3 linked regions of the Neodiprion lecontei genome follow. The main gene of each other region encodes a partner of the protein of the gene in region 3 in a complex. Links are inferred from orthologs where the notes say so. Each region holds a gene or a part of one and is shown on either strand. Other genes may lie near its edges. The genes, in order: MAD2L1-binding protein, mitotic spindle assembly checkpoint protein MAD1 and mitotic spindle assembly checkpoint protein MAD2A.

Evidence for each region.
Region 1: the proteins of mitotic spindle assembly checkpoint protein MAD2A (region 3) and MAD2L1-binding protein are in contact, whole or in part, in a crystal structure (PDB 2QYF), measured with the Homo sapiens proteins. The link is inferred for Neodiprion lecontei from reciprocal best matches to the Homo sapiens genes MAD2L1 and MAD2L1BP. Residues at the interface, in NP_002349.1 of Homo sapiens: Tyr33, Arg45, Thr52, Leu54, Lys122, Asp126, Glu127, Arg129, Ser130, Arg133, Gln134, Thr136, Ala137, Thr138, Thr140, Phe141, Leu142, Leu144, Glu179, Val181, Arg182, Leu183, Arg184, Tyr199, Asp205; in NP_055443.1 of Homo sapiens: Pro61, His79, Tyr82, Gln83, Gln85, Pro88, Leu89, Pro90, Gln93, His96, Ala185, Leu187, Arg188, Phe191, Arg192, Phe195, Asp198, Ala199, Phe200, Ser201, Glu202, Leu203, Gln204, Ala205.
Region 2: the proteins of mitotic spindle assembly checkpoint protein MAD2A (region 3) and mitotic spindle assembly checkpoint protein MAD1 are in contact, whole or in part, in a crystal structure (PDB 1GO4), measured with the Homo sapiens proteins. The link is inferred for Neodiprion lecontei from reciprocal best matches to the Homo sapiens genes MAD2L1 and MAD1L1. Residues at the interface, in NP_002349.1 of Homo sapiens: Tyr38, Leu61, Tyr64, Asn67, Val68, Trp75, Gln82, Lys83, Ser89, Ile91, Glu92, Ser93, Gly94, Arg99, Gln101, Ser150, Phe151, Asp152, Leu153, Leu154, Ile155, Tyr156, Thr157, Asp158, Lys159, Asp160, Leu161, Val163, Lys166, Trp167; in NP_001013858.1 of Homo sapiens: Glu527, Arg528, Ala530, Leu531, Gln532, Gly533, Asp534, Tyr535, Gln537, Ser538, Arg539, Thr540, Lys541, Val542, Leu543, His544, Met545, Ser546, Leu547, Asn548, Pro549, Thr550, Ala553, Arg554, Leu557.

What each region holds. Positions count from the first base shown.
Region 1 is NC_060266.1:98,125-105,450, reverse strand, and holds MAD2L1-binding protein, read right to left. Parts: upstream 4,331-7,326; 5' UTR 4,186-4,330; intron 4,021-4,185; 5' UTR 3,694-4,020; coding exon 3,272-3,693; intron 3,199-3,271; coding exon 2,814-3,198; 3' UTR 2,550-2,813; downstream 1-2,549. Other genes in the region: probable alpha-ketoglutarate-dependent hypophosphite dioxygenase, read right to left, coding at 609-1,211, 1,338-1,556; adipocyte plasma membrane-associated protein, read left to right, coding at 5,856-5,965, 7,085-7,293. UniProt on the Homo sapiens protein: May function to silence the spindle checkpoint and allow mitosis to proceed through anaphase by binding MAD2L1 after it has become dissociated from the MAD2L1-CDC20 complex.
Region 2 is NC_060265.1:6,132,253-6,140,815, forward strand, and holds mitotic spindle assembly checkpoint protein MAD1, read left to right. Parts: upstream 1-3,611; 5' UTR 3,612-3,791; intron 3,792-3,914; 5' UTR 3,915-3,925; coding exon 3,926-4,201; intron 4,202-4,317; coding exon 4,318-4,548; intron 4,549-4,710; coding exon 4,711-5,153; intron 5,154-5,246; coding exon 5,247-5,699; intron 5,700-5,827; coding exon 5,828-6,132; intron 6,133-6,246; coding exon 6,247-6,599; 3' UTR 6,600-6,652; downstream 6,653-8,563. Other genes in the region: uncharacterized protein LOC107218520, read left to right, coding at 83-267; uncharacterized protein LOC124295044, read left to right, coding at 1,304-1,319, 1,413-1,541, 1,831-1,951, 2,121-2,301, 2,454-2,522. UniProt on the Homo sapiens protein: Component of the spindle-assembly checkpoint that prevents the onset of anaphase until all chromosomes are properly aligned at the metaphase plate.
Region 3 is NC_060260.1:24,016,517-24,023,425, reverse strand, and holds mitotic spindle assembly checkpoint protein MAD2A, read left to right. Parts: upstream 1-1,881; 5' UTR 1,882-2,068; coding exon 2,069-2,141; intron 2,142-2,255; coding exon 2,256-2,821; 3' UTR 2,822-3,003; downstream 3,004-6,909. UniProt on the Homo sapiens protein: Component of the spindle-assembly checkpoint that prevents the onset of anaphase until all chromosomes are properly aligned at the metaphase plate.

The sequences.
Region 1 (7,326 bases), on a different chromosome or scaffold from region 3:
GGACCTCCCGAGATTTCGTAAATTTTTTCAACACCTGCCTCGATCAGCAAAAATTTTTCAAGATTTCACAATACCTCAAAAAATCTGAGAATATTTCATACGTAACAGACCGAAGAGTAATTGGGAAAGTATAATGGAAAAGGTGAAATTGCCAATGATAACGTGAAAGGATAAGAGTTGTATGACCTATATTCATCCATACTAATTAGTTGTAATAATCATGCGGGAGTGGTTGGCGCTGGTATATAGTAAAACTCAGGCAGAGTTTGTTGTGCTTTCTCAAGCAGATATTCTTGCACAATTACTTACTTTAACATATGATGCGTACAATTGTGTGCATATAAAACTGCTATTATCAGTCGGCGTACAAGCAATGACAGATTGAGAACACTGGGAACGGCATGGAGACGTTTGATGTTTCTTGCTGCCAAGGCCTCGGGTATTTTATTTAAAATTATCAACACTACACGCACATGGCGTACACATGTTACATAGATTACATACAACTGTTGCGAAAAACAATCCAGTTATACCAATCACATAGACAGGCAAAAAATGAGCAAGATATTGGCGGTACAGAAAAGCGAATAAATATAAAAGTTCGTGAATTAGTCAGCGAATCGCGTGGCCATGTTTGCGCTGCGATGTACATTCCTACCACGCAGGACAAGATTTTGTGCCGGTGATTGATGACATGCTCTCGTAGGTTCATCATCTGCGGCTCTGAGTTGTAAAAGGAACATCCTTCGAGCACGGTCGGAGAGATTCAAATATGATCCGTGAAGGAGGAGGTAAGAGAAAACGATTACTTCCCCCTTCTTCGCCGAGATAGGGGTCGCACCCTTCAATGGCCATTTGTTTTGATCTACCCAGTGATATTGTTCACCCTGCTCATCCGTTATACCTTTGTCAGCCAGAGGTCCAAGTTTATGACTTCCTGGATAAACTGCTAAGCCTCCATTCTCCGGAGTCGTATCATCCAGGTGTAAAAATACAGCTACCATGGTGTGATTTTTGAAGGGAAAGTAGGGATAGTCTTGATGCATCAGATAAGGTGCTCCATTCTCAGGGGGCTTTATGTGCGCCTTGGTGTGATGCAACAAGACATCTGGAGTACCCAGCACATCTTCCATGGCATCTAGCAACTTTGAATTCATTATCACTCTGGTGAAAACGGAACTGTGCATTTGTAAGTTGTGGATCGCCTTCACCTGTTAGCAAGCCCATTGAAACATAGAATTACTCGATCGTTAAAAGTGGAGCACCGGAGAGATACACGTAGATAATACAAGTGCTCGGAAAATTAAGGCTAAGCAAAAACGTTATGATGTACAAACCGTATAATCAATAAACCCAGCCTCTTGCTTCACCCTATCCCCGCTCCATGCGGATTCCAGTCCCTCCAGATTCTCTCTGGTCTTGCGCTCGAAAAGCTCGTTGTATTCTTGAGAAATCTCTTCCATCTCGGCCTCGCTGAATATTCCACTCAGCTTGATGAATCCATTTTTCTCATAAAACTCCTTGTCCTCAGGCTTCAGATATTTTAAAACACCCATTGCGTAACGAACTGACGACCAGCACAGTTTGCAGCAACAGGATTCGAACTGAGGATTTCTACTAGCTGGGCCGTTACTTTAACGCATATCACCCCACTGCTTCTACCATTGTCAGTCCCTCTCTCTATATTCAATTCCTCGTTTTTCCTTACTTGTTTTTGAAACCGCATTTGCCAATGCCCAGTGATAGTCAAGCTTACATATCAATTTTTTATATAACGCAAGAAACATTTTTCGCACAGTTGTGCAATATTGTTATCTCTCAATTCAGCTGTGCTGCTTACGTAAACAGCCAGTTTGACAAGCAGACATTTGACCGGACGGGAGAGATAGGCCTTGTTGCGTCTCATCGTGATGATTTCTTTGGTTCTTTTCCCTAGTTACGTACTAGCTTTGATGGAAAAAATTATCATTTCTTATAAACGTCGTTTCGCGAATACACAGGAAGCAAAACCGTAAACCTGTCGGTATGTGTAATTTGTAATAGGTTGTAAGCGAGCGGGCCACGCGCAAAGCTTGGTCAATTCAAGTAGATGCCACTTGCCAAACGGCTGATGCAATAACCGAGATGATCCAATAGTCAGTGACCTGAACACCGTAGCGCCAAGTTAAGAGGGTTATCAAGCGAAACAAGCCTATCAGCGGTACGGCCCTTGACCCCTTCAAGACCAAATACATTTTGGTAGATGGTATTGAACGGCACATCTCTGATAGATGCTGCGGACGTCAAGATCGTAAATTATAATTTACTGACGTTGAATGCATGTAATGGAAAATTTCGACACAACGTTTTACGTAACGTACCATCTTGCCTCGTGACAACGAAAATCCTTCAATTTCAAGCAATCTTCCGAACGAAGTTAATAATTGTTCAATCTATACAAAGTAAAAGCTTGATCGATTCACAGAACTGAATGGTTATTCCATTTTGCTCAGTCAGTGTTTACTGTTTTACCTGGGGTCAGGCCGCAAACATGGCTGTTGAATTTCGTGTTTTCGATTGGCTTTTCAAATTCATTTGCAGCAAGACTGGACATATTCAATTGCGTATTTACATAAATGGCTTAATAGATATAAAACATTACACAACTGAGAAAGTGCTCAGCGATTGTCCATAAAAATCGACATCTGATGCTCAAGGTTATAACCATTTCATCAATTATACGAACTAAATAATCAGCTAATCATTTATCAGCCTGGATGATATAATAAACAATAAAGTTTTGCCAGAAGGGTGAACAAAAAACAATGATTGCATCACCGAGAAAACTTGAAGCCTTTGATAATGTCTCTGGACTGATACCATTGGTAAATACTGTCTTGGCCTCCTTCAAATATTTTTTCAGTACTGCGGTGTCCGGCTGTGTTCTGACTAGGTGCCAATTCCGAATACGAAGCATCTCGATCTCGATATACGCTTACTGTATTCTTGCAATTGCAATTCCACATTTCATGACTTTTATGGGACAGCTTTAGGTGTAAACGACTTCCTGCCGTCGCATTAGTTATCGCGTAACGTGGTTTAGGCACAAAGAATTCCGACACCTTGTTGCAATCTCTCTTTTGCAAGAGGAAAAACGTATTCGTGGGCATCAAAGGCAACGCCATAGCTTCTTGAAAATCTACGCTCTCCGTTATGGATCTGGGAAAAATAATAACATGAAAGATAGACCATAAGCAGGTGATAGATAAGAAGGGGGATCGCAGTGTCGTACCTCATGAGGTTCAACAGTGGCTTACGAGGGGAATGCTGCTGCTTGAAATGGCACTGTCCACTGAGTATTTCTGGGGGAAGGCTCACTCGAAGGCAGAATTTTGGAGCAAGTATTGTCGCGCCCATTGATATAAAGATTTCCTTTACCGCTGAACTCTCGCAACATAATTCGGTATTTAAATGTTCCGAAATATTCTCCAGGCAACTCAATGTTGCTCTCGCCGTTGCCAAACTCCTGTCGTTGACTCCTACCGACGAAGCTCCCAGTCGCAGTAAATACTCGTAGCTCACCGGAATCTGTTGCTTTTGATACAACAGATATTTGACCAGCTCCAAAATTAATTTGCAACACGAGTCACTAGTTAAAGGTTCGTCCAGTTTCACACACACTTCTAACTCCTCGATTTTTTTTCGCCCCAGCATTTTCGTCAATTACTTCGACCAGTCGTGTACCTAGGTCGTGTATGGGTTATCTACGGCTTCGTAAATCGTAAATCAGTCCGAAATCAGTCGTCGGTCCAATATGACGCCAATACGTAACAAATCAGTGTTCATCACACAACGCACACATTCGAATAGATGTCTTATACTGATACAACTTTTATTCGCTATGATAATAGCGAGGAATGAAATAATAATATGTATGCACATGGAGAATGCATCGGCGCTGAAAGAGTGCCGCAACGCCCGATAATGTCCCCCAATGAGGGCGAGGGAGAGGAACGTAGTTAGACAATGTGCTCTCTCTTCCTGCAACAGAAGCGTCCCCATCACAGTTGTTCACCCATCGAGAATTGGCTAAGTGCACCGTTCGCACTCACTCGAAATAATCCGAATAATACGTGGAGTTTCTATGGAGTTTCGGAATCGTTTAACCCGTTTTTACTACAAACTTTCGAGAGTTGGTAAACTTACCAATGGTGAATTCCTGCGCGTACGCGCAGTATATTTTCAAAATGCGCGCTACTTTGCCGCATCATGGAGTCGCGCTTGCCAGATACTACCAGAAAGACTCTAGTGATCTCCCTTTCTCGCCAGTTGTATCAGCTCTCTTGCTTCCTCATTCTCGTTTTCTCCTCTCTCTCTCTCCCTCTCTCTCTCTCTCTCTCTCTCTCTCTCTTTCTCTCCTTCCCTCATTCTCTTCAGTCAGATGGCCAGTCAGGTGGCTTCGTTCATTTTGACACCGGTTTTCAACGACTGAAATACAGTTTCCAACGAATGCTCTTGAGGTTTACGGTACATCTACCTAGGATGTATTCCATTGAAGTTATATCTTCCATACCTGCGGTGTTGTCGACCTGTGGTGATGTGTGGGCAAAGTCCAGCGAAATCCAAAGAGGATAGGATTGGCCAAGTCAACGAACCCAAAAATTCAACAGTCGTTAACCGTCATTCGTGATCAACTGTGAACGTGAAAAATCACTCATCGTACATCCTTAGCACCGTTCTGAGACTGGTAATAATTTTTATACTTGACCCTCGGTGTTTCTACCGAATCCACGATAATGCCGTTTTCTTAGAAATATCTTGCTCCAAAATCGCATTTAGGTTCCAACTTAATTTCAACTATATAAAAATTGTCGCTGTACGCGTAGCAACACAATTATGCTTGATTGTTTTTTTTTTTTTTTTTTTTTTACCTGTGACCGTTATGTTGCCGTGCGTGACGCGGCAAGTTGGAAGTATCCGGCGATATCTTAGGTATACCTGCTTGGGTCAGCTAAATATTCACATTTCATACGAACAAACTTATTACCCCTGTCGGGTGTTCTGTTATTTCGCGCTCATTTTGATAATTTGTTTTACAAATTATTTTATACATCATTATAAAAACAACAGTACCCAGAGAATTTCTTCAACCCGCTCTATTGGAATTCGACAAGAAGTATACATAATTCCTTTGATTACCTGAAAGCATTCATTATGTTATAATCGTTGTGCGACATAGTTCATCGTCTTTTTTCTAGGCATATCTAAGGTGAGTATTTCAATCCAAATTCATTATCGCGTGATACGCATTTTTTAAACACGTCTTATTGCTGTTGTATTGCATACTTTATCTACGATCAATTATGATCCTTCAAGTAGCTCCCAGCAGCTTTCACTTACTCCAACTGAAAGTGTAGACTATTCGCAAGAAGAAGAAGTGCGATAGATAAAAGAAAATCAGTTACTCCTCAATATTTGTGGAAAGCGCTATCAGTAATTCTCATTCGCTACAGTGGAAATATAATGTTTTTGTATGCCAGGTTATAGTAGACACAATTTCAGTGACTTTAGCTTGCTTTATATGGTGAATGTCTAGTAAGAGACCCTTCCAAGCCCTATGGCCACCGTCTGGTGCCAACACCTGTGCGATTGTGGGCAAATGTTCAGTGGTAAGAGTTGTGCGTATGTTGATGCATGCATTGACAGCATGCCATATAAGGATCTGTTACAAGGGATATACACGGGATACATCTTATTATTGAAACATCCGCTGAGTTATTTCAGATCTGTACTATTTCTTAAATGTATTGCACTATGTTACATTAGCAGCATAACATTTCTGATACATGCGTTTTGTTTTATCCCAGGTTACGACAATGGGTTACCTAAAGTCTATAGGCACCACATTCATCTATATTGGATTATTTCTGGCGCTCATCACTTTCCTACCTGGCCTACCACCAGATGCACAGTTTGCTGAATACAAGTAGGTACACAATGGAAAATTGAATGAGATGATTATATTGCAGATTGCTAACCACATTCCACCCGGCATCCTTTCTATAGATTTGTCACTGTTTCTTAAATATTGTGAATGTTTGGTGAAGCGGACTCCTTGAAGCTGCTGAAGGTGATTGATTCTTTGCACCAACTCTTATGGGCTAGTACTTACTATTTGTGTCTGGGGTCAGCTTTACCAAAGATTCACAATGCTTCTGCTGTTTTAACCTAATTCACTCTGATACTGGGCAAGGAGACTAATTGTAAGAAATATTATTTTCAGACGCTTGAGATCCATGAATCGTGTTATTCCCTGCAATATAGACAAGCTTGCATATCACTTATGTTTTTATCCTCTTTGCAAAAAACGTAACATAAAATTGTTCTTGAATTTACCCTGTGACGTGGCATTTCTCGCTCTCAACAAAAACAAACTCATCGGAAGAGTGTAGAGGCTGCGAGATGCAGATTTTGCGATTTGCAGTTTGTATTCTCTCATCGGTACATTGCCCCTAGGAGCGGGGGAGTTGTAACGCGGCATGTCTCGCTGTTTGGGTAGCAGTTTGGAACGGTGTTTAGCGGGAGCTCGAGTAGCTCAGTAGTGAGAGCAGTTGCCCAGGAAGCAAAAGGTTTTCTAGTTCCAATTCGTGTCCTTCAAGCCGTGAAATAATATTTCTGGACATACCGAAAAGCTTGTCACATTACACATCCTTTTAAACCTGTGTTCTACATACTCGACAGTTGTTTCTCAAAGTTTCATGGGTTCAAGTACTGATTTCATTACTTCAAATGCAATTATTCATACCGCTTGCGTTGAGAGCCCACATATCAGAGCTTATTCTTTATAAGAGCTTTGAATTCTATGTGCCACATGGTAGAATTTCATGAGATTTTCACTCACAGTATTTCTGAAACGAACAGTTTTTGTGCTTTATGTAATTTTCGTATTAATTGACTGTGCTGAGTTGACTACTTGAAATGCGTTGTGAAGAGAAACATTACTTGACTACAAAAAATTGTACATCCCCAATGAATCAAAAGTAAGACTAAAGTTTATGAGGAATATGCCACTCGGTCTCTGTTACAACTTGTCGTCCCTTTGCAGTATATCGCCACCGCAGCAGTTCCTAACAGATGCCCTGAAATTGAACAACAGACTGGATGATGCCGAAATTCTGTTTGAAGGGAAACTAAAGGGCCCTGAATCTTTTACCTCACGTAACGGGGAATTGTTCACCACCTTGCATGGAGGCGACATTGTTAAGATTATAGGGCATCATATTGTACCTATCGCCAAGTTTGGTAGACCGTGCGGTGAGTCTCTCCCTGAAAAATTTCCGTTCCTTA
Region 2 (8,563 bases), on a different chromosome or scaffold from region 3:
AGTCAAATCAATTATCACATATGACATAAAATATCAACATCGAGCGTGCTTTACTACACGAACTTCGTTCAATCAATTTCAGATATGGAACCATCAAGGGAAAACTCACCAGTCAATTATAGAGATGGAACACGTAGGTCTGCAGGAGTAGTTCGCAATAACACGCCACCTCCAGAAGAAATAGGCATTGAGAATGCAGCAGTGGATGTTGATTTCCCAAAAGTATTTAGTAAGATGCATCAGGAGCAGGCTGTTGAGATTCCATAATTTTTCATCAAAAGTTAGTAATACTTACAAACGCTGTTGGAGCCTAATAATTTGTGAACCAATACAGAAATACAGTTTATAAAAAATGAATATCGAGTGGTCACAATGTATTGCGCAATAAATATAAATGGTCAAGGACATTATGTGACAAGGTATGACATTATATCTACAAATGTGAATGTGATAAGCATAATTTTCATAACAATAGAATAATTAACTTTGTTAAGAACAAACTAGTTGTACCAAATCTATACTAAGCAATTATAGCAATTGAATAGATTGATATACATGTAGAACAATGAGATTTAAGATGCACAACTAATGAATAAAAACTACTTACATTTGCTCAAAGAATCTCACTGTGGAGCTGTGTTTGTACTAGCACCAGCAGTGGTATCCATTACGCTATCATCTGCCTCTTCTGCTTGATCTTCATCATCTTCATCGTCATCTTCTTCCTCAACTTCTATTTCCAGTATACGAATTTTACGGTTGCTCTCACTAAGAATTGCAGCCACTTTCCGGGCTCCACTTACAGCCAAACGACTCGCCGCTATTCCTTGAACAGGTTTTGGCCAAGTTCCACCAGAAAGTTCAACCACTTCACTAATACCCATATTCTCTCTAGTATCAAATGTGAAAACATGGCCAAGAGGCAGCTGCACGAAATACGACGAATGTATGTGATGATCCAGAATGAGCAGACTTAAATAATCTTGCGAATAAAATTGCAAGTCTCCTATCAAACTACTACTGCTAGCAGAGATATCTTTTGTATCGCAACCTGTAAAAAGTTACATAACATGATAGTACAACCATGATTTGAATGTTGTAACGATGATTTAATTTTTATTTGCTTCGTCTACCTTGTCGTCGATCCGCGTCAATGCTTGCACTTTTGACTGTTAAAGAGTTTTCAGTACCCGGATTTTGGACGACCTTAAACATCTGTAAAGTTTTTCCATTCAGGTCTGAGAAAGCAAGCAGTAAATCCTTCTCAGATGTGACAAACTGTGAATGCAACGATGAGTAAGAAATGGTCGACACAGCTGGTAAGCTCACGACTGTAGGAATGAAGAGATTCACTAGCCCCTGGTAAGCCTGACCAAACACGACGCTTATCGCGTCAACCAATTTCGCATTAGATTGTAGCAAGGACAGCGACAGGTCTTGCCTAACCAATAGCGGATGGTTTTGTAAACAGACATTCTCGCTGAGCATAGCAGCCCATTCACTACCATCGGGGGTTAAGCATGTCCGAAGAGGTTCTTTTCGTAAGTACTGACCGAGTTTTTCAAGATTTACACCTTTCCTAGCACCTTCTTTATCTCCAACTTGATCAAACCCACGTAAAAATTCAGCTATAAAAGTCAAGTCCTGTTGACTAACTCTGCTGACTTCAGGTGGCGCCCGTTCGCCAGTCAATTTGAGTATAACAACATATAGCCATCTGAAAAGCACAACAATTCTGTAACAAATAAACGATTCGTAAATTTTTTTCTACCCACCGAAAAAATGCTTTGTAATCACGCATACTATGATCGATGACTTGTTGTATTTCAGATGCTTTGGCAAGAAAAGCTTCCGATGCCCGAAGAGCCTCGTCAATTACACTTTCGGAAGTAAATCCCAGGGCTTCGTATTGTCCACCAAGTTTGGCCATTCCAGTCATTTCAGCCAGCTGGTATGTCAGTGCCATTCCGACGCTGCTAAGATGCTTTAGGACTAATTTCTGCACAAAAAGATTGAGAACTAATTAGAATATCTTTAGTTATTCCCAAGAAGTAAACGAACCTGAATATTACTGTAGCACATTTCAATGCTATGTCCTAATTTCTTCAACCCTTTTTCAGTCAGGTCTCTCAAGAGGAAATTTTCCAAATTCGCAGAGGGAATGCCGATCATAAGAAGGTCCAAAAAATCTGCAGCCACTGCTCCAGGAGGGTTGGCCTCAGCGTAACGAGACAATTTCTCATCCATTTCCAAGAGAATTGTTTCCCATGCTTCGGAAATAGCCATCAGCGTACGATCGAGGTAGTCCATCAGATATTCAATATTAGCTTGAGCTTGCGCTACCTTTTAGAAACAGACGCAACTTTCAGCACTGCCACCTTAATTTTAAGGCTACAAAAAAGTATAGATGAAGTGAAACTCACTTTTAAAAATGCTCCATTACTTTCCAAAAGTGGACAACACAGATGAACAACACTAATGTTTTCCAAGGATCGCAGACTGACCCAAATTGGCCCCCCTGAACCACCGTTGATTTCCTGTACGGAACCTGGCCCTATGCTTAATGTACCACAATTAAACATCCCAAAGACATACATAGCAACAGTGCCTGCTTCAGTTCCAAGCTGTAAAAAATTGAGCACATTGTAAATTACATTGCATTTTATCCTCGACTATTGTCTATTTATGATTCATACGTGTGAATAAATGAGTAATTAAAATGAGACATAACAAAGAGAAATGAATTTGTAAGAAATTTTAATCTTCTATGTATTTTAGCATTCATTTCTTGACACACTTACAAATAACATGTCCAAGGTTTGGGATAAGCTTTCCTTGTGCTCAGGCTCATGCCCAAAACTTCTGTTCAAGCTCGGCAAAGGTGGAAGATATTCTCCAGTTGACGAGGAACAAGTTTTGATTCCAGTTCCGCATTTTTCAGCCTCTTGAATGCCCAATGGTAGCCAGGACAAAGTTGTAACAATTGCCTGTGAACTTTGTTGAGTTTTATGAAGGATATTCTTGTTTTCAACATCAACAAGATGTATGAGATTTGATTCTTTATAAACAACAGCAATGAGCTTTCCGTTTGGTCTCCAAGTCAGATCCTGAACCAAATCTGTTGCTTCAGGCGGGGGTAAAAGCCAGACACGCTGCCACGTGAGCCTATGAAGTGCTATTTCCCCTGAAAAATGCGAATCATCGAAAGTAAGGATAACGATACTCTCTCTCATTTATTGTCGGCGTTTTACCACTTCATAAACAACGCATATCGTACTAACCTCTCATGTTAGCTATAGCCAACAGATCCATTTTTGGTGACCATCGCATCAAAGTCAACTCCACCGACAATTGTCGCTCCTCCAGTTGTCTTATAGCACACGACATATTTTCTTATTTTTAAACGATATATTATACGAGTTCGATTATTATAAGATCCGTCAGTTGGACCGGCCGCTTAGTGCAGTTTTGCAAGCAAACTTGTATGTAGTGTTGCCAAGTGCAGAGTAAACGATCTCGCTATCTCAGAATCAAAACCTCTAGAAATCCCTAGATGTTACAAACGCATAAGGCCCTAGTGAGCTCTATCTCTGTCAGTTCAGCTATGCCGGTCAGGATTACCGTTGGGTTTACCATGGATTTAGCCAATGGCGGCGTTTCGTCGGCATTAATGTAAAGCTGGCAAAACGGCCTGTGCTTCTCGCAGGGCTGCTCGTATACGTGTGAATGTGTGTTTGAATTGTTTGAAAATAACTATAAACATATTTATCCGTATAGGATAGTTGAAACACGTAAGTTACGGTAGCATTTGACGATTTTTCTACGAAGCTACAGAACTGAGTCAGTGTTGATACAGCATCTGAATCGACCCTCAAGAGGTTACCTTTTCGTAAACAACCCCTGAAACTTTTCAGAATTCCAAATCATGGGTGACGACGATCCAACCTGTGTTGTCAAAATGATCAAGGATCTGCGATCAGGTTCTGGAGGCTATCAACGCAATAGCCTAACGTCTTCCGGGTTACGGTTGTCCTCGGCGTCTTACATTCCCTCTTCTTCTATCATCAGTGACATCGATAATGATGATAGCAAACGTACCCCAAAACGACCTAGACTAGATGAAACGAATACCAGTCTTAACAGATCTAGTCTGGATGGCGCACCTGGAAGTCCATGGGAATGGAGAAGGTTGAGGGGAGAGGTAATTGTTGCAAAAAAATGTTACTTGAAAACTAAAGGAATGCGTTAAATATCGATGACTTTTGTCATACGAAGCATTTCCCTTTGCACAAGCTTACCACTCGTATACTTATGTAGGTAATTTCGTTGCGAACAAGACTGTCGCACCAAGAGGCCACAGTGGATCAGCTCCATGGTGTTAGAAGGCAAATGGAACAAGTCTTTGACAAGCAAAAAAAATTGTTTGAAATGCAGGCTGAACAAGATAAACAGTCAATAAAACTGCTAGAAGCTAGATTGGACATGGCTCGGCAAACAACACAAGAAGCTATAGAGGCCCAGACTAATGCTGAAAGAGAGACTGCCCTGGTAATGTGAAAACTTTGAAAATTTTCACGTAACTTCTAATACACTGTTTGTTCGTGGTTTATTTTCTGCAAGAATTTCGAAGAATGGAGAATAAAGAAACAGAAATAATGTTGCAATATATTACATGCTTTTACAATTTTGCTTTACTATGTTTTTGCTTAGGTGAAGATGAAACTAGATCAGAAAACCCTTGCATTGATGAATGACAATGCAAGACTTCAGGATGAAACTAGACAAGCCAACAGCCAGCATCGGCAGCAAATCCCACCAAGTGATTGTAATGAGGATGTAACAGAAATAACACAGAAACTCGAAGCTACTGAGAAGAGAATTCTACAACTAGAAGAGAGCCTCAGAGAGGCCAGAAGTGGCCAGCAGAAGAGTGAATTGCTGGAATTAGAAGTACAAAATTTGAAGATGAAAATTGAAAAGTTAGAATCTGAACGATCGCTATGTGAGGAGGGCAAAGCAATGGCGGCCAGAGCTGCACGTGCTAGTGATCTAGAGCGAGAACTTCATGCTGCCAATAAACAGGTTTCTACTTTGCGAGAATCGGTAAAAGGAAAGTTGCTACTCGAAGAACAAATCTGCAGCATGCAACAAAGGTAAGAAAAAAGTTTTCAAATAGCAATCTTGCCGATAAACTATGACAGGAGTTCATCAATCTAGATTTGTAAATAATGTGAACTTGCCATCAGGGTTCAGCATACAGAGAAGTTGGAGCTGCGAATTGCAAACCTCGAAGCACAGCGGGCGGAGCTACTGTCACAAATTAGGGAGTATGAGTCGATTGGTATTACTGGTGGACCACTAGCGCTAAAAAAAGAATTACAACGTTTGCAACAAACGGAACTGATCTTAACAGCCGAAGAAGGTCAATTAAAGTCAAAGATGGAATCTGCTCAGAGAGAATGTCAAAACCTTAGTAAAAAGTACGAGGAAGCTAAGACGATAGCAAACGATATGACAGGTGTCAGGGAAAAATTGAACAAATTGGTTAGCAGGCTACAAAAGAAAATGATGCTAGTTACCCGAGAACGAGACAGTTACAGACAGCAACTCGACTTGTACGAAAAGGAAATGACCGTTGATGGCCATAGTGTACTTACCGAACGAGTACCAGCTTTGGAACGAGCCATAGACGGATACAGGTAGATATGAAAACATTGTCCTCTCTCTACTTCACGTGTATTGATTTTTTATTTCTTTTTTTCTACACAAGAGAAAATTTCTAATATTATTTACATACCTTAATTGCGAAATACTATTCCACTTTCAGGGAGCTTGTCAGCAAATTAGAGTCAGATTTAGAAGCTGCCGATGATTGTGTGCAGAAGGGTCAGTGCCAAAAGTTACGAGAAGAGATCGAGAGACTCAAGGGTGAGCTAGAACACAGAGCTCTAAAAGGAGATTTCAATTGCAATGCAAGGATCCTTCACTTCAAGATGAATCCAGCCGCTCTAGCAGAGAGACAGGCGGACGAAAAGTACGAAGCTCTTCTACGAGAGGTCGAGGAACTCAGAGCTAGAACGGCCTCTGGCACTTTGAATCTGGGACCCGTAGGATCATCTGTTCAAGCTCAAGGTAAAGAATTCTTTACAAAAAAAGAGTAACAAAAATACATTCACCAATGCCTTGGCTCGAATATATCAATTGTTTGCTCATATCCAAACGGGTAATTCTCAATCGTTGTTACAGAAATTGCCGAGCTCAAGCAGACTCATGAGATCAAGATCACTCGCCTGAAAGAAGCATTCAAGGCGGCTTCGCAGGAGTACCGCCAGGCCTGCTATCAGCTTTTTGGATGGCGAGTCGACAGGACAAAGGAGGGACGGTACAAGCTATCGAGTCAGTACGCAGAGTCGCCGGACGACTTTCTATTCTTCCAAGTTGGCGAGGAAGGCGTTGATCTTTTGGAAACCGATTTTTCCGCAACTCTCGGTAGCCTCATAGAGTGTCACCTACAGAGACAGCACAGTGTCCCGATGTTTATAAATGCCGTTCAAACGGAACTTTTCTCTCAACAGACCGCTGCGACTGTGACAAGCTGAACTTATCCTTACATGAATATTACAATAACTGAAAATAAACCAATTCATTAAGAGCTGTCGATTGTTGCGATTTGAAAATGACGAGTCAACTCTTTAAATATGTAACTCGTACCCAGCTTTAAGCCCTTGTACGTACGACTAAATACTTTAACAAACTTTTAGTATGGTATAAAAGTATCGTGAAAATACATCTGAGATTCCATAATCGATATCTATAATTATGATTGATATTATTACTTTTCATATAAATCATATAATTACTTTTTGTTTAAAGCAAATGGATATTTAATTAGTAAATAATTTAGAGCTGAATTGCCATTCGCTTTTTATTTTTACAAATTTCGACACATTGTTCTGATTTGTGATCCGAATGATAAAGAACATTGTTTGCAGAACGGTTTGTTTTACACAGATTCATATTGCACGATTAACTTGCATTCAAATTAAAATTTTAAATGATTTGAATTAATTAGCTCCGTACAAATTAACAAATCCCAAGTCCAGTTGAGCGTTAAACGAGTCCAAAATTAAACGCACCTCAACAGCCGTGGAAAATAATCTCTGCAGTCACGCGGTATCTCCAATTAACTCCGAACGTGACGGTAAAGTATGGCAAACAACAACTAGGGTTGTATCTATTATATGTTTTACGGTTTCTATTCAGTTTTAACGTTTAATTTCAAAATTCTTGTATAAATCTTCAACTTTTAACCAACCGATTAAATCCCACGAGACGAATTTTTATTTTTTTTTCTATAAATCCCCAATAATATAACAACAGTAAAAACTGACGGAAAATAAAAGCATGAAACTCCGGACCGATAAATTGTTACGAAACATACGTAATTGATGAAAACTCGACTCGTCGCGTCGGAGGGGCAATATCAATCCGAACCCCATAACCGTCACGTAAGGTTCGTCCCATTCGATCCGACGATTAGTATAATACGTGGTAATTATCTCTAGACATAGGTGGAGAGAACCGGCCAAGATCTATGGGCACATAACAGTCTCGTAGTACTTGGGACAGGGTGATAATTTGTGCCGGGCGAAGAAGAAGTAGAGGTTCGTTGAGGAGAAGGAAGGGCGATTACGGAACCCCGGTTATATACACATGCCCATAATGTATATGGTACATAATACGGAGATACATAGCCGGGCACAGAGGTTCGCTCTATCGGTCGGCGGCGGCGAGCAGCACCCCCGCAGGACACGGGGTAAAATAAGGAAAGGCTGGTGCGGCCGCCCTCGGATCCGCTTCATTCGGGAGCTCCGAAGGGCTAAACTCCATTATCGCTAATTATAATCACGTTTAATCGCAAACTCGTCCTCTCTACCCTGCCCGGCGTCGCCCTCCTCTTCCACCCCCCATATTCGACGACCGCTTTCGTACACAGAGACGCAGGACGACGCGACGTGTATGTGCTCACCCCGAGACCTCGTGCCCGGCGTCGCTCAGTCCTGATTATCAATCTGGACTCTCTCGCCCTCCCTTCCTCTCTCGCTTACGCCCCGCTTTTCGCCCCTCGCTGAGCCTACGTCGAGGAGCCACTCGGCGTAGTTATATACTCCAGAGATACTCCAGGTGTCCGGCGCACGTAGAGACAGACGCAAAAGGGCTGCTGGGGCGGTGGAAAAAGGACTCGAAGAAAACGCGTTTATTTCTACCGTCTTCCGAGAGGCCCGCAAAGTACCTCGAGCTTTTGTGCGGTGTACGTATGCATGCGTGTACGTGTTCACGCGTGTTTGTGTGTGTGGCTTATACGTATACCTCTGCCTGTATGACACACACGATTGCCGTTCCACACTGGCGTGTATCGGTGTGCATGGAGAACGGACAATGGTTCGGGGGTTTCTCATACATCGTTTAAACTTATTCCCGTTCAACCCATCGTGCACCTTTCTACCTACAGCCAATTTCATATAATCTTCATACCTTTGCCCCGGCCCCAATTTGAGTCCGA
Region 3 (6,909 bases):
CCACGGAGCGCTTATCCTGGAAGTCGAGAAATTTTATTAGCGGACTGACAGCTACTGAATATGGGCTTGCGCGAGAAACGAATTGAAATAATTTATTGTAAACATGAACCAGGAACCACGGAGCGCTTATCCTGGAAGTCGAGAAATTTTATTAGCGGACTGACAGCTACTGAATTTGGGCTTGCGCGAAAAACGAATTGAAATAATTTATTGTAAACATGAACGAGGAGCCACGGAGCGCTTATCCTGGAAGCCGAGTTTTACCGCGTAGCGGACCCGAAGCGCGGGATCCGGAAGGTTGAGAACCCGGTACTCCAAATACGTAGCGGACCCGAAGCGCGGGATCCGGGAGGTTGAGAACCCGGTACTCGAAATTTGCGGAGCGCGACTCTCATCCGTCCGCTCTACTGCGCGGTTGTTTCCCGACTGAGGAATTCGGCTAGCTGATTTTGAATTGGTGACGTCACTTTCTGAACATCCGACATCCAAACTATGGTTTCGAACTTTGATACTATGTATGATGATGTATGATGTACGATGTATGATGTATGATGTATGATGTATGATGTATGATGTATGATGATATGATATGATGTATAATGATTTTAGCTTTCACATTTCATACAAGAAATACGCACTTTATCTCTCCTGCCGATTCCAGACTCAAGCGGCCAGGCCCTTCGATCGTCAGCCGTTGACTGAAGATGTATTCTTCAGTGAACGGGTCGGCTAATAACGCTGCCGTTCTGCGACAGTTGGATGATGAAAAATTTCGCTCGTATCTTTCAAATGTGTGTTAAAATACACTCGAAGTGTTAAGAAGCGTCGTTCTTTCTCTCCCTATCACCTTTCTAGGTCTTTAAATCACTACGCAGCGTTAAATACTGTCTCATATACGGAGCATCCATTTCATATCGATCAAAATTAGCGCATCCATGATGTATTACACTTACTCTGAATTTTTTCCCATATGTTCACTTTTTGAAAAACAATTCTGCTTCTCTACCCAACGTAGGTATTTCACTTGCGACTAGCTAATACAGCGTTTCGATTCCATGCCTACGAAAATTCAAGACCGAAAGATCATATGAAAAGTTGTCGGAATAATTATGAATATTAATATTATGGAATACATGGTGGAGCAGGAGGACCAGGAGGACGAAGGTGGTTAGGGATGTTCGGAAATGGTAGCCGGTGGTAGGCGCAGGTAGGTGGTGGTAGGGGTTGGTAGAAGGTGGTCGGGGATAATAGTAGGTGGTCGGTTGTTGCCGGAAGTGGTAAGTGGCGGCAGGGGGTGGTACGAGGTGGACGGAGATGGTAGGAAGTGTTTGGAGGTGGTTGGAAGTGATCGGCGGTTGTCGTGAAAGACGACGAAGACGCGGACGACGCGCCGTGGTGCGGAGGAGGAGGACGGCGTCGAGGTGGACAAGGAGCACGAAGGTGGTCGGAGGTGGGAGAAGGTGGTTGACGGTCATTGGTGGTGCTCGGTGGTTGTATGGTAGTTGTCGGCGGACGCGGTTTCGCGTCTTCTCACGGGGATGATCGAGCCGATCGACATTTTTAAGTCGCAGTCGACAAGTAGTCTTGCGTACTCACTTTGTACCGACTCAATCTCATGCTGCCATACCGACACTACTTCGGCTGTTACGAATGTCGGTGCGAGCCCGTTGGGTAGAGTCGATAGAGCAGAACCCTCCTACGCTCCCAGGCCTACCTGCGCCCATTTGCCCGCCGAAAACTGGTCACCAAATTTTACCCAGGGGTATCCGTCATTACATTCTTCAGTCAACGGATCCGTGGCTTGATCGACATTAATCATGTAGAGAGTCTGCCGTCTTGTACCTTGTACGCTATGGATACCAAAGGTTGGGTGTTGCGATTGGCTGACAGGAACGGTGAGGGGTTCGAAGTTGCCTCATGAGCTACGATTGGTGCATTTGAAAAGCTACCCGTGATTGTTTCTAACCTCATGAAAGTATTGTTTGGTTAATTCGGCTGATGTGTGGAGGCTTGCAGTAGCTAGTTTTATTATTGTCGGCTGCGACGGTGATTGGGCCCGTCTCTCATAATGACAGAAACGCAACAAAAATCGAAATGTATTACTCTAAAGGGTTCCGCGGAGTTAGTCGCTGAATACTTGCGTGAGTATCTGAACTCATCTTTTAACAAAAACTGTCACTTTCCAGCTCTTTGTTTTGGATTTCATTTACTGTTGAACCGTATTATAACGACTCGGAATCGTTGCATTATTACAGATTTCGGGATCAACAGTATACTTTATCAGCGGGGTATATATCCACCGGAAACATTCGAACCGGCGGAACATTTTGGTTTGTCAATCCTTGTCTCTACGGATGAAAAGATAAAATCTTTCTTAAACACTGTCCTCGGTCAAATCGAAGAATGGTTACTACAAAAGAAAGTACAAAAGGTAACGCTTGTCATAACTAATGTAAACACTAAAGAGGTACTTGAGAAATGGGATTTCAAAGTTGATTACGAAGGATCAACTCCAAATGGCACCGCCACCGGCAACAAAAATATAAACCACTCAGAAGTTGGTACAAAGGATACGAAGACCATTCAAAAAGAGATCCGCGAAGTGATACGTCAGATAACAGGAACAGTCAGTTTTTTGCCGCTACTCGATTGTCTCTGCTCCTTTGATATACTGACATACACAGTTCCTGATTGTAATATACCCACCGAATGGGATGAAACCCAGCCAGTATTTATCGCCAACAGCCAGGAAGTGCAACTCAGGACTTTCTCTACATCCATTCATAAGATGCAGACCATAGTTAGCTATAAAAACGATTGATACCAATGATACAGTACGCTTTCGTACACAAGTGCTTATTATTGTAATTTTTATTCTTCATATTCATTCAATTGTAATTATACTCTTTCAATTGCATCATATTTTGTATTAGACTGTAATGGTCTCCTTGATTGATTAAGGACAACAATAATTTTTCAAATAAATGTTTTTATATACTCTCATTTACTTTTCTCTCTCCTCTTTTCATACCTAACCTCACGGAATTCCTGATGTAGTATTTATTTCAAAGAGCTAGAAGACACTGGTTTTGGATGTTCTGAATTTCTACTGATTAGGCACAGATCACAGCATACTGAAGTTGATGTACATTCACGATTTCCTAATCAATTCATTATTTTAAGACTTATTTGTATTTTTGTTTAGCTACTTCGTTGTGTAGATCAGTCTTGCCAATAAGACTCACGGTCGCTACTCTCCTTTTTTTATATCACACTTTTAACGAGATAGTTTTGGCTGCATAATCACTACTCATATTCCTGATATTCATTGTGCGCAGTTTGTGGAAATCACTTGAAATCATTCGTAACCATCTTCGATCCATCGAACAAGGTATAAAGAATTGTTCCAAATGATTCACTCTGACAACAAAGTCGATGATAAATTCGGGAAACATTGAAACATGATCTGAATTAAAAGTTTATGAATTCTGTTAAAGTGTACAGCACCAAAAAATTGAGTAACTCGATATAACTTCATTTCGTATGCGAATTAATACCTACAGTAATCATTAATATAATATAGTTCTTCTGAAATTTTATGAATCTACTATTTCCATTAGTGAGAAATAAATTTGTCACCGAGTAGTAAGTGAGTTTATTTGAGTGTGATTATAACAAAGTAATTATAATGTACCTATTGTAACGTTTTATTATCACTGCATTGTCACAAATTTGGGCAGTAGAACCACCAAAGCTGCGTTCTATAACTTATCACAGATTCGGATAGATTAGCTACAGTCGCCACATCCCTTCACAGAACTGGCAATAGAGTACCGAGTCTGTCGTGCCTAAACTGTAGTGTACGAGTTTGTCATGCACAATGCAAAAATGTCACAAATATTGATATTAAAGAAATTATAAAAAAAATTGTATAAACTAAATTTAAAATCTATCAACTAATTGGTTAGCGTTCTCTGTGTGTAAGTTACGAAATTTTTATACCTTGAAATTTCACCAAATACAAATATTTCTCTAAGGTATGCGAAATTTTCCAATTGCAAATAACTATTTTTCATTGGGAAATTGTGTAATTTTTAATATTGATTGAAATTATCGGAATCATCTAATTTGATTAAAATTCCTTCACGAAGTAATCGATGTTTTGATTTTTATTTCCTACATTGCCCATCCCTACGACAAGTCAGCCAAGCGCTTCGCTATGTAAGTTACTGTTATCGGGTGTTGATCAGTCTGAATTTATACCGAAAATTCAATTCGATCTGACTTCAGAAAAAAGGATTATATCTTGGTTGGGTTATGTTCAACCGTCGGTATCGTAGAGCCCTGCGTTGTTGATTGCTTTGTCGCGTTGACGCTGATTATTGGTAATTTGGTACACACACCCAGCTGTAAAGCTGGATATGTTACACTGTAATTATATTTACAATTAGTTTGGGAAGCAAAGATGATAAAGGTTGATTAGATAAGTGAGCAGGTCTTACCTGATTTTATTAGAACTTAATTATAGTTGTTACACTTGACACAGGAATTAGATATATTATTACAGTAAAGCAATTAGGACTAGAATAAATAATAAATATATTTATATGTATACAACGTATTTGACTAAAGTTTGAACAGTACATCAGCAACGTTTCGTTGTAAGAATTCATTACAGCCTAATTCGATCGCGACGTTACATGTATACATCCACTGTAATAATAACAGTTATACAACAAACAACTGAAAGCGAATGCTGCAAGCGTGAATTTGATTACAGGTATAATTCTTGTATCCTCGGACGGAGGGGATGTGAAATAAAGTACCTCAACGACCAAGAAAAAGAAATGAAGAAAGAATCACGGCAGTCGAATCATTTTTGGAAATAATTCAACCGCTGACGTAACAAATGCGAGCACTCGTATTTACGTCGTATATTAAGGGGCTGCTTCATTAGCTCACTTAGCTCTGATCTGTTATCGTTAAGCAATGTAATAAATAAGTTTATTAATGCGTATAGGTATTACATTGTACCCTATGAAAGCCTGCTGCCGCTCGTCGATTATTATTTGTTATAACAATTATTTAATTCCATAACTACGTAATTATCATATCGTCTTACCGGTTTAGAGATCATCAGGAAACATCAACTTATGCTTTATATTGTTATATAATGTGCTGCAGTACTGTATATTATTATATACCCTACATCGTAAGGATTACAGAATGACAACCTATAAAGTAACTTAATTTTAACGAGAATCAGAATATCGATATCAATATTGGTGCGGCTAGAGACAGCTCTATAATGTTTTATGTGCACATTTTCAAAAATATACTAACTAAAGGCCAAATATTCGCAAGTTAATCGTACACGCGCACAGTTCTGTTTCTCGAGTCTCATTTAAATTCACTATAACTGATTCTCGACAATATTATGCATACTTGTGAACATGTATACAATATTATATTTACGGTAAAGCAGCCTATTTACAGGTGAATTGAACAGGTCGTATCACCTGATTCATGACAATATTTGTTTGTGATTTATTTCAATGACAATTGCGATAGTAATTGTTATTATTACTGGCACGTACACGGTCACTTGTTAAAAAATATTACCGCAGTATTATACCGATGTTGAGAATTTCTTTTTGTTATTGATCGTGTTTTATATTATAGATTTTCAATTAAGACGTAAGGCCTCTCTACGCGAACTTTGTAGGTACCTATATAATTTTTCGATAACCGATTAACCGTTGAAAAATGAAATGCAGCTACTATTCTCTGCTGGATGAAAATCCATACGATTTATATCCAGGTGAAATATACATGTATATATATAATATACAATATATATAATATATGATGTATAGATTGTATAATATACATATACGTGTAGTCTTGTGGACACAGTTAAAGCTGCATAATGAAGTTCGTTTCGTACAAATTATATTACTGATCCAATTAGCCTTGCAGCTACGTAACGAACATATATAATATATATTGTAACAATAAATTTGTCTAATTTCATTATATATATTATATAGGTATAATATTGTTAAATTAGGAATAGCTTTACACTTCGCTTGAAGTTAAGTAATATTTATATTATTTTGTGAAATATTGAACTACGAATTGCTTCCCTATTATATTAAATGTATACTTAACTTTATATATATTATATATATTTATTATACATATATGTGTTTGTATATGGTATCGTATAAATACGTTCCTAGTACAAACATTGAAAAATGAATAACGAGAAACGGTACACAATATTTTACACAGCGCTTTATAACTAGATAGTTATAGATATTTATCTAATGCATCGGTTCAGCAGCTGTAATTCTATTCTACATTTCAGCTGATTCTGGCACCACTTTTGGTGTATTTTATCATTGGTTATGATTTTGCCTAGTTTTACCCAGGGATGTGTCAAATCATCGTAATGACCCTAACATCAAGAAGGTCAATCGGATAGAATTACAGCTCTGTAATAACTCCTTACACATACTGGCATTATATATTTATAAAGTACATAATAGTATACGTGATATTATTAATTATATCATGTTCGTTACGAATCGCGATTAATTTATAAGTATCTGCCTTATAATTATTTACCTACGTTCGATTTTAATATTATCTTAGTACTACTTTTGAATTTTTTAATAAACAACTTATTCTCTTATTGTTATACAATCCCACGATGCTCTTCAATTTTAGGACATAGGTACAGATAATTGCTGTTTCTTGAGAGCCGTGGTTATACAACCGTTGTAGTATAAACGGGTTATTATAGTCCACCATTATAATCAATGCCTGTATTTATTATTTTTATTGTTATTATTATTGTTATTATTATTATACCATAAAATATTTTTACTTTTCGCTGACCGCGTG